Caenorhabditis elegans: one gene and its partner. The protein of the gene in region 1 interacts with the protein of each later gene in a biochemical or structural test. Each region holds a gene or a part of one and is shown in the gene's direction. Other genes may lie near its edges.

Evidence for each region.
Region 2: of the proteins of baf-1 (region 1) and lem-4, one has a biochemical effect on the other in vitro, tested with the Caenorhabditis elegans proteins (one study listed by BioGRID).

The regions. Positions count from the first base shown.
Region 1 is NC_003281.10:9,465,301-9,469,083, forward strand, and holds baf-1 (Barrier-to-autointegration factor 1), read left to right. Parts: upstream 1-2,163; 5' UTR 2,164-2,168; coding exon 2,169-2,291; intron 2,292-2,346; coding exon 2,347-2,493; 3' UTR 2,494-2,758; downstream 2,759-3,783. Other genes in the region: B0464.6 (uncharacterized protein), read right to left, coding at 1-170; B0464.9 (putative protein phosphatase methylesterase 1), read left to right, coding at 473-544, 599-838, 886-995, 1,045-1,579, 1,625-1,762; tag-342 (transcription initiation factor TFIID subunit 13 family protein), read left to right, coding at 2,857-2,935, 3,095-3,266, 3,310-3,493, 3,539-3,627, 3,721-3,783. UniProt on the Caenorhabditis elegans protein: DNA-binding protein which plays an essential role in nuclear envelope formation. Required for normal chromosome segregation during mitosis. Associates with the nuclear lamina via its interaction with LEM domain containing proteins emr-1 and lem-2.
Region 2 is NC_003282.8:848,532-857,004, reverse strand, and holds lem-4 (Ankyrin repeat and LEM domain-containing protein 2 homolog), read left to right. Parts: upstream 1-2,242; 5' UTR 2,243-2,307; coding exon 2,308-2,372; intron 2,373-2,626; coding exon 2,627-2,722; intron 2,723-2,770; coding exon 2,771-3,016; intron 3,017-4,566; coding exon 4,567-5,011; intron 5,012-6,340; coding exon 6,341-7,129; intron 7,130-7,428; coding exon 7,429-7,599; 3' UTR 7,600-7,736; downstream 7,737-8,473. Other genes in the region: Y55F3BR.11 (Ground-like domain-containing protein), read right to left, coding at 170-343, 991-1,103, 1,190-1,280; lgc-33 (Neurotransmitter-gated ion-channel ligand-binding domain-containing protein), read right to left, coding at 8,155-8,283. UniProt on the Caenorhabditis elegans protein: Involved in mitotic nuclear envelope reassembly by promoting dephosphorylation of baf-1 during mitotic exit.

The DNA.
Region 1 (3,783 bases):
ATTGTTATTCTCGATTGTTCTAGTCTCTGATTATCATTCACATATCTGCTCTTGCACACTGGGGACATTTTGTCTTCAAATGCTGACCGGTTTGATGCCTGTGATGTGTTGAGTAATGAATAGTCTGCATTTTGACTTTTCAGTCGTTCGCGGAGTGAATCCGCAGTCATTGTGAACCTGTAACACACTAGAGTTGATGTAAAGCTTGCGATTAGATTAATATTTATATTAAAACAACAAATTAGTGAGAAAAATCACAGAAAAAACATTTTCGAGGGAGTTTTCGATAAAATATTTTCGAATCTTTTTGTCCTCGTGTACTACGAGCGCGTTGGCCTAGAAAACGCATGTCAGCATTTTCTAGGCCATTTCGGAGATTTTTAATAATTTTATTTTTTTGGCTCAATTTTAATAAATATAGCTTTCTATTTAATTGTCTTAAATATTTAAATATATTAATTTACAGATCACCATGTCCGACGATAAATTAGACACTCTTCCGGATCTTCAATCGGAAACGTCACATGTCACAACTCCTCACAGGGTACATTAATAGTGAAAATTAACAAGATGATGTTTTATTAAATATCAATTTCAGCAAAATGATCTTCTTCGTCAAGCGGTCACTCATGGAAGGCCACCACCAGTTCCGAGCACATCAACTTCTGGAAAGAAACGAGAAATGTCTGAACTACCGTGGTCAGATTTTTTTGATGAAAAGAAGGACGCAAACATTGATGGAGATGTTTTCAATGTGTACATAAAGGGAAATGAAGGTCCAATTTTCTATTTGCTTCACGGTGGAGGTTATTCAGGCCTCACATGGGCGTGTTTTGCGGTATGTTTTGTTCTATTCTAGTGTCAGTCATTAATGGTTCTGTTCAGAAAGAATTGGCAACTTTAATATCATGCAGAGTTGTTGCACCTGATTTAAGAGGACACGGCGACACTAAATGTTCTGATGAGCACGATCTTTCGAAAGAAACCCAAATAAAGTGAGGTTTCGCTTTGATAAGTTTTGTAACTTCTATCGACATATTGTAGAGATATTGGAGCAATCTTCAAGAACATTTTCGGCGAAGACGATTCACCAGTATGCATTGTTGGACACAGTATGGGTGGTGCATTGGCCATTCATACATTGAATGCAAAGATGATTTCTTCAAAAGTCGCTGCACTCATTGTCATTGATGTTGTCGAAGGTTCCGCTATGGAAGCACTTGGAGGAATGGTTCATTTTTTACATTCAAGGCCTTCTTCATTTCCTTCTATCGAAAAAGCCATTCACTGGTGCCTTTCTTCGGGTACAGCGAGGAATCCCACAGCTGCACGGGTCTCAATGCCGTCTCAAATTAGAGAAGTATCGGAACACGAGTACACTTGGCGAATTGATTTAACAACAACAGAACAGTACTGGAAAGGATGGTTTGAAGGATTATCCAAAGAATTTTTGGGATGTTCCGTTCCGAAGATGCTTGTTCTAGCGGGCGTTGATCGGCTGGACAGGGATCTCACAATTGGTCAAATGCAGGGAAAGTTTCAGACTTGTGTGTTACCAAAAGTTGGACATTGTGTTCAGGTAAATGTTATACTCAATTAATAATTTATATAAATTGTCTTGCAGGAAGATAGCCCACAAAATCTTGCAGATGAAGTCGGAAGATTCGCTTGCCGCCATAGAATTGCCCAACCGAAATTCTCAGCCCTTGCATCACCACCAGATCCAGCGATTCTCGAATACAGAAAACGTCATCACCAATAATTGCTCATTTTGTTTTCCAATATTTTCACAACATTTCTATACAAGTTAAGAAAAAAATATTTTATATGAAAAGATTATCGATTAAATTTCCCGTCTTTTTAGTTCTTGGGAATAATAAATGTCAGCGACATACGAATGAATCGATTATTTTAGAGGAGAGGCAGATGCCAAAAAATTACAGTCAAAAAGAAGTATTCGTGAAAGAGTGCGCAAATCGAGAGACGCAGACAGAATGCAAACGCGCTCCGCTGAACTGTGGCCGCCAAGCGTTTCGTTTAAAAGGGAGCGTTGTCTATTTTCCTATCTATTCTTGCCAGTTTTATTTTATTTCGCAACTATCTTTTTACTACGATTTTCGAAAATATTTTCAAATTCAAGAATGTAATTATTTTGTGTTTCAGAAACCATGTCGACTTCTGTTAAGCATCGTGAGTTCGTCGGAGAGCCAATGGGCGACAAAGAAGTCACATGCATCGCCGGGATCGGGCCAACATATGGCACCAAGCTCACCGATGCAGGCTTCGATAAAGTATGTAGATTTTTTTTTCTCAAATTTTCGATCAATGTTAAAATTTGAATTTCAGGCCTACGTACTGTTCGGACAGTATCTCCTTCTGAAGAAAGACGAGGATTTGTTTATCGAATGGCTGAAAGAGACGGCTGGAGTGACTGCAAATCACGCGAAGACGGCGTTCAATTGTTTGAACGAGTGGGCAGATCAGTTCATGTAAACTGCTCAATATTTCTGCTAAGCATCGATTTGATTCTCCTCTATAATCATCAATGGCCATATTTGCACTTCGAAAAACACCATTTGTTCCAGTGTAGTCGTTTTCCGCTTTGCGACTATGCCCCATTTCAAATTAATCTGTTTCTGAAATATTTCTCATACTTCCAAGTTTTCCCCCTTGTCGTGTGGTCTTGGACTACGGTTCTTGTTTTGTTTTTGACTTTAATTTTGCGATTTTTCTCCCTCCAAATAAAATATTTTCTACGATCCTGAAGAGTGTTTCTAAGTTTTTTATTACGAAAGTTGTCGTTCGAAAGTTTACTTGGAATAAAAACAATATTTTCTATTCTATGGTGATTTCCAGATGCCTCCGAAAAGGGCTGTGAAAAAGAAGGTACAGACCACAGAAAAAGCTCGCCCAACATTGGATCAGGAGATAAAATGTGAGCATTTTTACACGGGTTGGCGGCAATTCGACAATTATCGAAGTTAAAAATTAATTTTTTTTTTCAAAAAATATACTGAAAAATACATTTTCAAATGTGTGTTTCCAAAAAAGTTTCGGATTTGTTACAATATTCACACGGAATTTATTTTTTCAGTAGATGACTCAAATGAGCTTGAACCATCGATTCGAAGTGTTGTGACGAGTTTGATGTTCACTTCGGGAGACGACGAAAATCCACTTTCTGAAAATGAAGATTTCGTTGTGAATATACTGAAAAACGAGTTGGTTCTCTTTATTAACGATGTTATAGAGGTTTATGATAATAAGTAAGCAGATTTTTTTTTTCCGAAATAATTCAAACATTTACAGAATTCCAAATGTGAAGCTACAACATATGCTTCAACTTCTCAACAGTCAAAAAGGAGTACTTTCTCGTTTTATTAAATATCTCAAGAATCGTGTGGAAATGTCGGCATTCATGAGAGCGAAATCATTTTCTAAAAACGGAACTGAAAATATTTGTGGACAAGAAGTAGAGAATGAAGATGAAACGGTCTGTAAAACTGAAAAAAATTAAATTTAGAATAATTACTTTCAGACTGATGAAAAGATAGAAGAGGGAGTTGATCCAATGGATGAAATTGGTGAAGTTGGTGGAGAAGAGGGAGAATATTTGAAAAATAAGAGGTTATTACTATTACTGTCTTAATTTGTATTTTTGGGGGCAAAAAATCGAATTTTTGCGTCTGAAAATATTAGAAAATTTTTGAAATATTACAGGAGAACGTACGGTACAATTACATCCGAGGAAAACCTGCTTCAAGAAGCTCAAAAGTCGTTTTT
Region 2 (8,473 bases), on another chromosome or scaffold:
ACTATGCAAGAGTACTCAGGAATTTCACTTCATTTAAAGGTATTAGTCGAGTCGATAATTTTTGTTGGAAACGCAAGATAATTAACTTGTATAGGTCAAAGTTAATTTCAAAGTTTAACTAATCTTAGGTAATCTTTGAACCGTCATAACTCTTTTTTAGAATCTAAATTCATTTATCGATTTTCATAATTACAATATACATACTCAAGTTAATATCATTAACAGCACAAAACGTGTCCATACTCGTCGCCCGATCATCCACATATCCATTTACACGATGATATGACGTGGCACTGACAAGCCATGTGCCACCGGAAGACGCGAAATTCGGGATTAGGGCGGTCTGGAATATATACTTTTGAGTGCAAATTTTGTCGGTGGTGGTGCTCACGGGCTTCTGGTCTTCCTCAATGCATTTTTGGCGTTAATCTACCACGACCATGGCCGAGCTCAAATGGCCTAGTTCGGCAGACTTTTACATTCAAAAATTCGTGGGAAGCCAGAAGCGCGTGGCTGCTCCAAACACTTTAATTTTAAAACTCTGTAATTTTTTTTCCGGTTTTTATTTTTTCGAATGTAAATGAAAAGATTCCAGAAAGTCGTTTTGAAATTATTGGAATTGGAACATTTGGTGATTTTAGTATAAACAACTAAATTAAAATCTATATTTTTATTTCATAAGCCTACGTCTAAGCTCAAGCCTAAACCTAAGCCTGATTCTAAGGCCAAGCCTAAGCCGACGCCTAATCCTAAGCTTAAACCTAAGCTTAAGCCTAACCCTACGGTTAAGCCTAAACTTAAGACTAATCCTAAGGATAAGTCTTAGCCTAATTGTAAGCCTAAGCCAAAGCTAATCCCGAAACTATGAAATTTTACACTGAAATTGTTAGGTTTAACACAAAAATTTGCGAGAACTCGAAAATTTGTAAGAAAATAGATAAGAAAATGTTTTTCGAATTTTTTCGGCGAAAAAAAAAGAAAAAAACTCACTTGAATAGCTGCCTGAACTTGATCAACGGCGATTGCCTTTGGATTTGTAATATTTTGCAATGCATTGAAGACTACTTGTCTTAAATCCTTATTTGTACAGAATAGAGCGTCGACTGAAAAAAAACTTTGAAAAGAATGTTTTTTCTCAGATTTTTTTTAGTTTCAAATCAAAAATAATTGTTTCCCAGTAAAAACTTACTATTCGGCAAAACTCCACGATCATCATTTCTAACAGGAAAACTGTGTGAAAACGCAAAAAATACGTGGAACAGAAGCAAAAATCGGCGCATTTTCCGGCAGGTGCATCTGGTGACACTGTGTCAGGTGCTCGAAGAGTCAATTAGACACCCCGATAAGAAACATTTTAATTATTCATTTTCTTCTGATAAGTGATAAGGAACATGGTGACGATTTTTCGAAAATCGGGGAGAATGCAAACGCGCTTCGTTGAGAATCCGGCGAAAAAATCTGGAAAAAATTGATATTTTCTGAAAAATTGGGATGTTACTGTGCATGTTTCCGAAAACCCCGATTTTTTGTGATGAAAATTACCAAAAATGTAGTTTTTTTTTTGAAAAGTTGACTGAAAATTCGAATTTTTCGTAAAAATTTCATCAAAAACCCAAATTGTGCAGCAAAAAAATTTGTGGCCTAACTTTTTGTTTAGGTGGCCTAGGATTTTTTTGTTGACAAATGCGAGAAAATGCGAAAAATTACCAGAATATTTGAATTTCACGTGAAAATTTTATCATAAACCCCAAGTTTTGCATTTAAAAATTGGTGGCCTAACTTTTTTCTGGTGGCCTAGAAATTTTTACTGAAAAATTAGAAAAAACCGCAAAAAATTAGAAACAGTTAACTGAAAATTCGGATTTTTCGTTAAAATTTCATCAAAAACCTCAAGTCTTGCAACAAAAAATTGGTGGCCTAATTTTTTTGTGATGGCCTAGGAATATTTTGCTGCAAAAATGCGGGAAAACCGCGTGAAATTAGAAAAAGTTAATTGAAAATTTGAAATTTTCGTAAAAAACTTCATCAAAAACCTCAAGTTTTGCAAAAATTTGCAACAAAAAAATTGGTGGCCTAACTTTTCTTTAGGTGGCCTAGTGATTTTTTTGCTGAAAATTCAAATTTTTCGTAAAAAAATGACTGAAAATCCGCCAGGTTTTCACAAATTAGCAGATAAAACTGCGCTCTATTGCAATATTTATTCGAAAAAATTCGAAAATCATGTGATAGTTGCGAAATTCGAGCTGTTTTTGTTGCCTCATCACTTTTTTCTGTTTCTTTTCTCACCAAACTCTTATTCAAGAGTTTATGGGGCGAAAATCTGCAATTCTAGCTGTAATTCTTGCTATAATATATTTCAGAAGTAATTTCAGGTGACTTTACATTATTTAATATATTTTTTTGCAAAAAAATCGATCGATTTTCAGCGATTTTAAGTTTACCCCCTGAGAGAGTGTAGGAAAGTGAGAGACGGAGACAGAAAGCGCTACAACGACGCTCCGATATTGCGGGTTGCATGTTGTTTAGCGTATTTCAGCGGGTGTTTTAAATGAGGAAATATCGGTTTTTATCGGTTTTTTATTGGATTTTCGTCGATTTTTCTCATTTTTTAATTGTTTTTTTGCAGTAAAATGTCAAATACACCGGTGCAGGAGACTGAGGGACCGGTCTACGTGGCATATTCCATGGAAGATATGCTAAAATCGCCCAGAGACTTGTATAAGTGAGTTTTTACTCGATTTTTCGCTGAAAATTTCGATTTTTTTTACAGAAGCGTCAAGGAAGTGGCGAAATTCGTGAACTCGGCCGAAGGAAAAAGCATGTCGGCTCGTTTTAAGAAATTCGGAACGCCACGAGAAGCGATGGACTTTCTCGCGTACGGAGATGCGCCGACGACACCGAAAACCGTGCCGCCCGTCGCCCCAACTGAGCCAAATTCACCGTTTTCCGGTGTAAATCGCATTCAAATGAATGAATTCAAGAAATATGTGGAAAAAGGAGATATGGAGAATTTTTTGTAAGGATTGTGAAATTTTTGAAAAATTGGCGAAAAGTAGATATAATTCTCGATTTATTACAAAAAAAAATCCGGCACTGTTATAGTTTTTAGCTGAAAAAATTGAAAAATCTGTACAAAAAGATGGATATTTCCGCAGTTTTGCTGGAAAAAAGCCTTTTTCTCGAAATTTTCCCATAGAAGGTGGATTTTTCCCAAAAAAACCAGACTTTTTCGAGAAGTTATCGATTTTGATCCGAGTTTTCACCATAATTATCTATTTTTTCTATCATTTTCCTTTTTTTTTTCCTTGAATTTCTTTAAAAATTTATTTTCCCCCTAGTATCCTTTAAAAATTCGATTTTCACTCAAATTTTCACAAAAATTATCAATTTTTTGGAATTTTTATCAAAAACTAGATTTTTCCCGGATTTCCCCAAAAAAAAATCGATAGCTTATCAAATTTTTACCAAAAAAAAAATTTTTGGAATTTTTACCAAAAATTATCGAATTTTCCTAGAAAATCCCAAAAAAATGGGGTTTCCCGAATTTCCCCAAAAAAAAAAAGCGGACTTTTTTCCAAAATTTTTCACAAAAATATTGATTTTCACCCAAATTTTTGGAATTTTTACTAAATATCCCACAAAAATTAATTTTTTCGAATTTCCCCCTAAAAAATTATTTAAAAAACCGATTTTTTTCAAATTTCTCACAAAATGATTGATTTCTTACCAAATTTTCACCAAAAATAGATTTTTGGAATTTTTACTTAAAATAATCGTGTTTTTCCAAATTTCTCTTGAAAATCGATTTCCCCTAAAAAAATTACAAAAAAAAATCGATTTTTACTCGAATTTTCACCAAAACTTTCGATTTTTCGGAATTTCCAACAAAATTATCACTTTTCATGAATTTTTCTCAAATATCCTTCAAAAAATCGATTTTTCCCGAATTTTTACAAAAATGCCGATTTTCTGTAATTCCGGTCAGAAATTATCGATTTTTTTCAAATTTTCATTTGAAAAATCCAAAAAAAACCTTTTTTTTTTCTTAATTTCCACCAAAATCACTGCAACTTTTTCCTCACGAGGGACGAGGAAAAATGGTTTCTAGGCCATGGCCGAGAGGCCGACAAGTTTCAGCAAAAAAATTCGAGATTTTCGCACAAAAAGTTGAATTTTGAAAATCTCAAAACTTTTTCAGCGGTCTCGTTATGAAAATCAGGTAGTCTCAGCATTTAAGCATCATATGTATCATGTTTCAGAAAAAGTTTAGGTTTTGTATTCCCGTAATCCATCATTTTACATTGACCACTTTCACCGCTGCTTGCCCACTGAATACATGATTTTTTTACTTGGAAATTGTTTTAGCATCTGCAAAAAATATTTATTCATCAGTTTTATTAAGAAAAAACGAAAAAAATCGATGAAAAACGAAAGAAAACAGGCGGAAAACAAAGCAAGATAAATGGCCGCTGAAACTTGTCGGCCTCTCGGCCATGGCCTAGAAACCATTTTTCCTCGTCCCTCGTGAGGAAAAAGTTGCAGTGAAAATTATCGATTTTCTTGCAGACGCCTCGTCGATTCGAATCCACGTTTTCTCGTGAATACCGGTGGTGACGTGGCATCAATTGTGATGGAAGGATTCCGTTATAATGCTCTACACATTGCCGCCAAAGCCGGCCAAACGGAAATAATCGCAAAAATTCTGGAACTCATTCAAAATATCGATTTTCTGATTCGCCTGTACGGCACCGGCGCCGATGACGTCACGCTACGAAAAATCAATATTCTGGATTCATATTTAAATACGCCGGACAAAGGAAACTCGGATACCCCACTACATTTTGCTTCGAAATTCGGAAAAATCGGCGTTGTTCGAGTTTTGACTGAAAATTCCGCGACGGATAGGACACTGCTCAACAAATCCGGAAAAAGCGCGTTGGATTGTGCCGGCGAACGATATACGGGAGAGGATAAGGATATGGTGCAACGGGATATTCATTTGGCTATTGAGGTGCGGGAAATTACCAATTTTCCGCGATAAAAATTGAGAAAAAACGGGAAAAATTGCGGAAAAATCGATTTTTTCGTTTAAATTTTATCAAAAACTCCAATTTTTGCAACAAAAAAAAATTGGTGGCCTAGAATTTTTCACTGAAAAATGACAAAAACAGCGAAAAATTACCGAAAAATTCGAATTTTTGTAACAAAAAAAAATGGTGGCCTAACTTTTTCTTCAGGAGGCCTAGGAATTTTATGGGAAGAAATTGCGGAAAATTCGATATTTTCGTAAAATTATGACTAAAAACCGCCAATTTAGTTAGAACATAAGATTATGGCCTAACTTTTTTCTGGTGGCCTAGGTTTCTTTTTGCTGTAAAAATGCGGGAAATTACGAATTTTCCTGAAAAATTTGAGAAAAAAGGAGAAAAAACCCAATTTTTTTGTGGTGAAAATAGCCAAAAATGCAATTTTTTTTCTGAAAATTGTGAAAAATCAAGTTTTCTAGCCTGATCCTGCAAAAAACCACCGGAAAAATCCAATTTTTTTTCGTTAAAATTTCTAAGATTTGAGCAACAAAAATTGGTGGCCTAGGTTTTTTTACTGCAAAAAAATCGAAAAAAAACTCGAAAAATTACCGGAAAATTAGAATTTTTCGTTAAAATTCAATAAAAACCCCTATTTTTGCAACAAAATTGGTGGCCTAACTTTTTTTCTGATGACCTAGAAAAGATTTCCGTATTTCTAGGCCACCTGAATATCAAGTTAGGTCATTAATGTTTTGCGCAAAAATAAAGATATTCCATTTTCGCAATATTTTTCATCCAAAAAATGGAACTTTTGGATTTTCAAAATTTCTAGGCCACCTGAACAAAAAGTTAGGCCACCAATTAATTTTTTGCGCTAAAGAGAATTCAGAAATTCCCAATTTTCCAGTATTTTTTATTAAGAAAATGGAACTTTCTAGATTTTCAAAGTTTCTAGGCCACCAATTTTTGGGTGCAAAAAAATCGGAAAAAAAAGTTGGTGGGCTAAGTATTTCTATGATGGCCTAGGAAACTCCAGGAAAAAAGTTAGGCCGCCAATGTTTTTTTCCGAAAAAAAGTCAGAAATTGCGAGTCTTGCAGTATTTTGTCTACAAAATTTTTTGTGTTTTAAAAATTTCTAGGCCACTAAAATACAGAAAGTTAGGCCACCAATCTTTTTGCGCCAAAAATTCAAAGAAAACACCTTTTTTTGAGAAAAAAAATTGATGGCCTAACTTTTCCTACATGGCCTGCGAAAAAGTTAGGTCATTATTTTTTTTAATGCGAAAAAAAAACTTTAAATCAATTTTTTTCAGGGTTTCTACGTATTTCTGCACCGAAATCCAACAACCGGCTCCACACAGCTTACAGTATCCCAGAAGCCGCCGGCTACCTACAGTACCTCGCCGACCACAGCTACAGTAACCGTGTCAGCACAGGCGGGACCATTTTTCACGGAGCGAGAAGCTCGAGATTTCGCAAAAAGCTGGCAAACCGCGGGAAAAGAGCTGAAACGAACGGATTTCGATAAAGGATGGGAACGTGTCGGCCGTGTGCTCGCCGAGCAATCAGAAGCCATGTGGCGAGAGACTTGGCACTTCTTGGGCTCTATGGAGCTTCTCGATTTGGGCTCCGAGCAGGGACTGGGCGTGCTGGAAGCGTTTTTACGCGAAAAACGGCGAGGAAATCTGAGAAATTCTGAGATTTCCGAAATTTCCACGAAAAAATCGATATTTCGACGAGGAATTCACGCTAGAAAGTTGGATTTTGGAATTTTGGATGGAGAAAAATCGGCGGAAATATCTGAAAATTTAACCCCAGACGGATCCGATTCCGCTGACGACGAAGACGACGATGACATATTCTACGACACATTCTCTGAAATTCCGGCCGCCGCTGAAAAATCGATAAACGATCCGGACGACACGCTCGGAAGTCTCACCGATCGATTTGCGGCGATTTCGATTTTTTCGCCGTTGCCGCCGCCGCCGCCGCCGCAATGGTCAAATTCGCCGAATTTTGATTATTCTGAAGGCGAGGATTCGTTTGCGACGCCGCCGACAACGCCGCCGCCGACTTTTGTGGCAGATGATGAGCCATGCAAGGTTCGAAATGGGAAAAATCGATAAAAATTGATAATTTTAGTGGAAAATCGTTAAAAATCGTGTATAAGCGAGTGGAAATTGTTTAAAATTCAAAAATTTTGGGCAAAAGTCGATAACTTCAGTGGAAATTTTCTGAAAATCAATTTTTCCTAGAAAAATCGATAATTTTCGAGAAAAATCGACAAAAATACAAAAAAAAAATCAATTTTTGTTTAAAATTCTGAAATATCGATTTCCCTGAAAATTCAAGAAAAACTGAAAAAATCGATAATTCCTCAATAAAATCACATTTTTTCCAGATCGACAACGACTTATTCGAAGTTTTGGCTCAAATTTCATCTGAATTGATCTCCAAATTCCCGCTCACTCAAGACTACGTTCAGAAACTGGGAAAATTGACGGCTCATGACAGATCCACGTGGCGTCCGATCGATTCGCCGGCCCGATGCGATTCCAGGCGAAAAATTTAATAATTTTAATAGTTTTACGACATTTCCCACACTTTTTTTAATCATTTTTCCACTGAAACATATCTGAAAATCGATCTTTTTTTTTTTAATTTATTAAAAATTCTTGTAAATACCGAATGAAACTTTGACAACTTGAGATTAAAGTCTATCATTTTGCAGAAAAATCAATAATTTTCGCAGAAAAATCAATAATTTCCTAGAAAATCAATAATTGTGTAGAAAAATCGATAATTTGGAAGAAAATCAATAATTTTGCAGAAAAATCGATAATTTGGAAGAAAAATCAATAATTTTGCAGAAAAATCGATAATTTGGAAGAAAAATCAATAATTTTGCAGAAAAATCGATAATTTGGAAGAAAAATCAATAATTTTGCAGAAAAATCGATAATTTCCAAGAAAAATCAATAATTTCCTAGAAAAATCGATAGTTTTGCAGAAAAAATTGATTCGAAAATTCATTATTTAACTTCCTATCTCAAGGAGTTTACAGTTTCCAGCTGAAAAGAGAAGTTCAAAATTAAATTTTTCCAAAAAATCCAGAAAATGTTTATTTTCAATCGATAACTATGACAATAATTGCATAAATCAATAGAAAAGTGAGATAGGACAAGAAAATACAGAAAAGGGCCGCCCGTTTTCGATTTCCCAACATGGCGGTCGTGATTTGGCGTTGGATGGGCGTCTGAAAATTGGAAAATGAGATACTTTTGTTAAAAATCGATAATTTTTGTGATAAAATCAATCAATTTTTATGAAAATTGATAACATCCGGTAAAAATCAATAAGTTTGGTGAAAATCGATAATTTTCTGAAAATCAATAAAATTGCAAAAAAAAAAACAATGAATTTCCATCAAAATCGATAATTTTTTT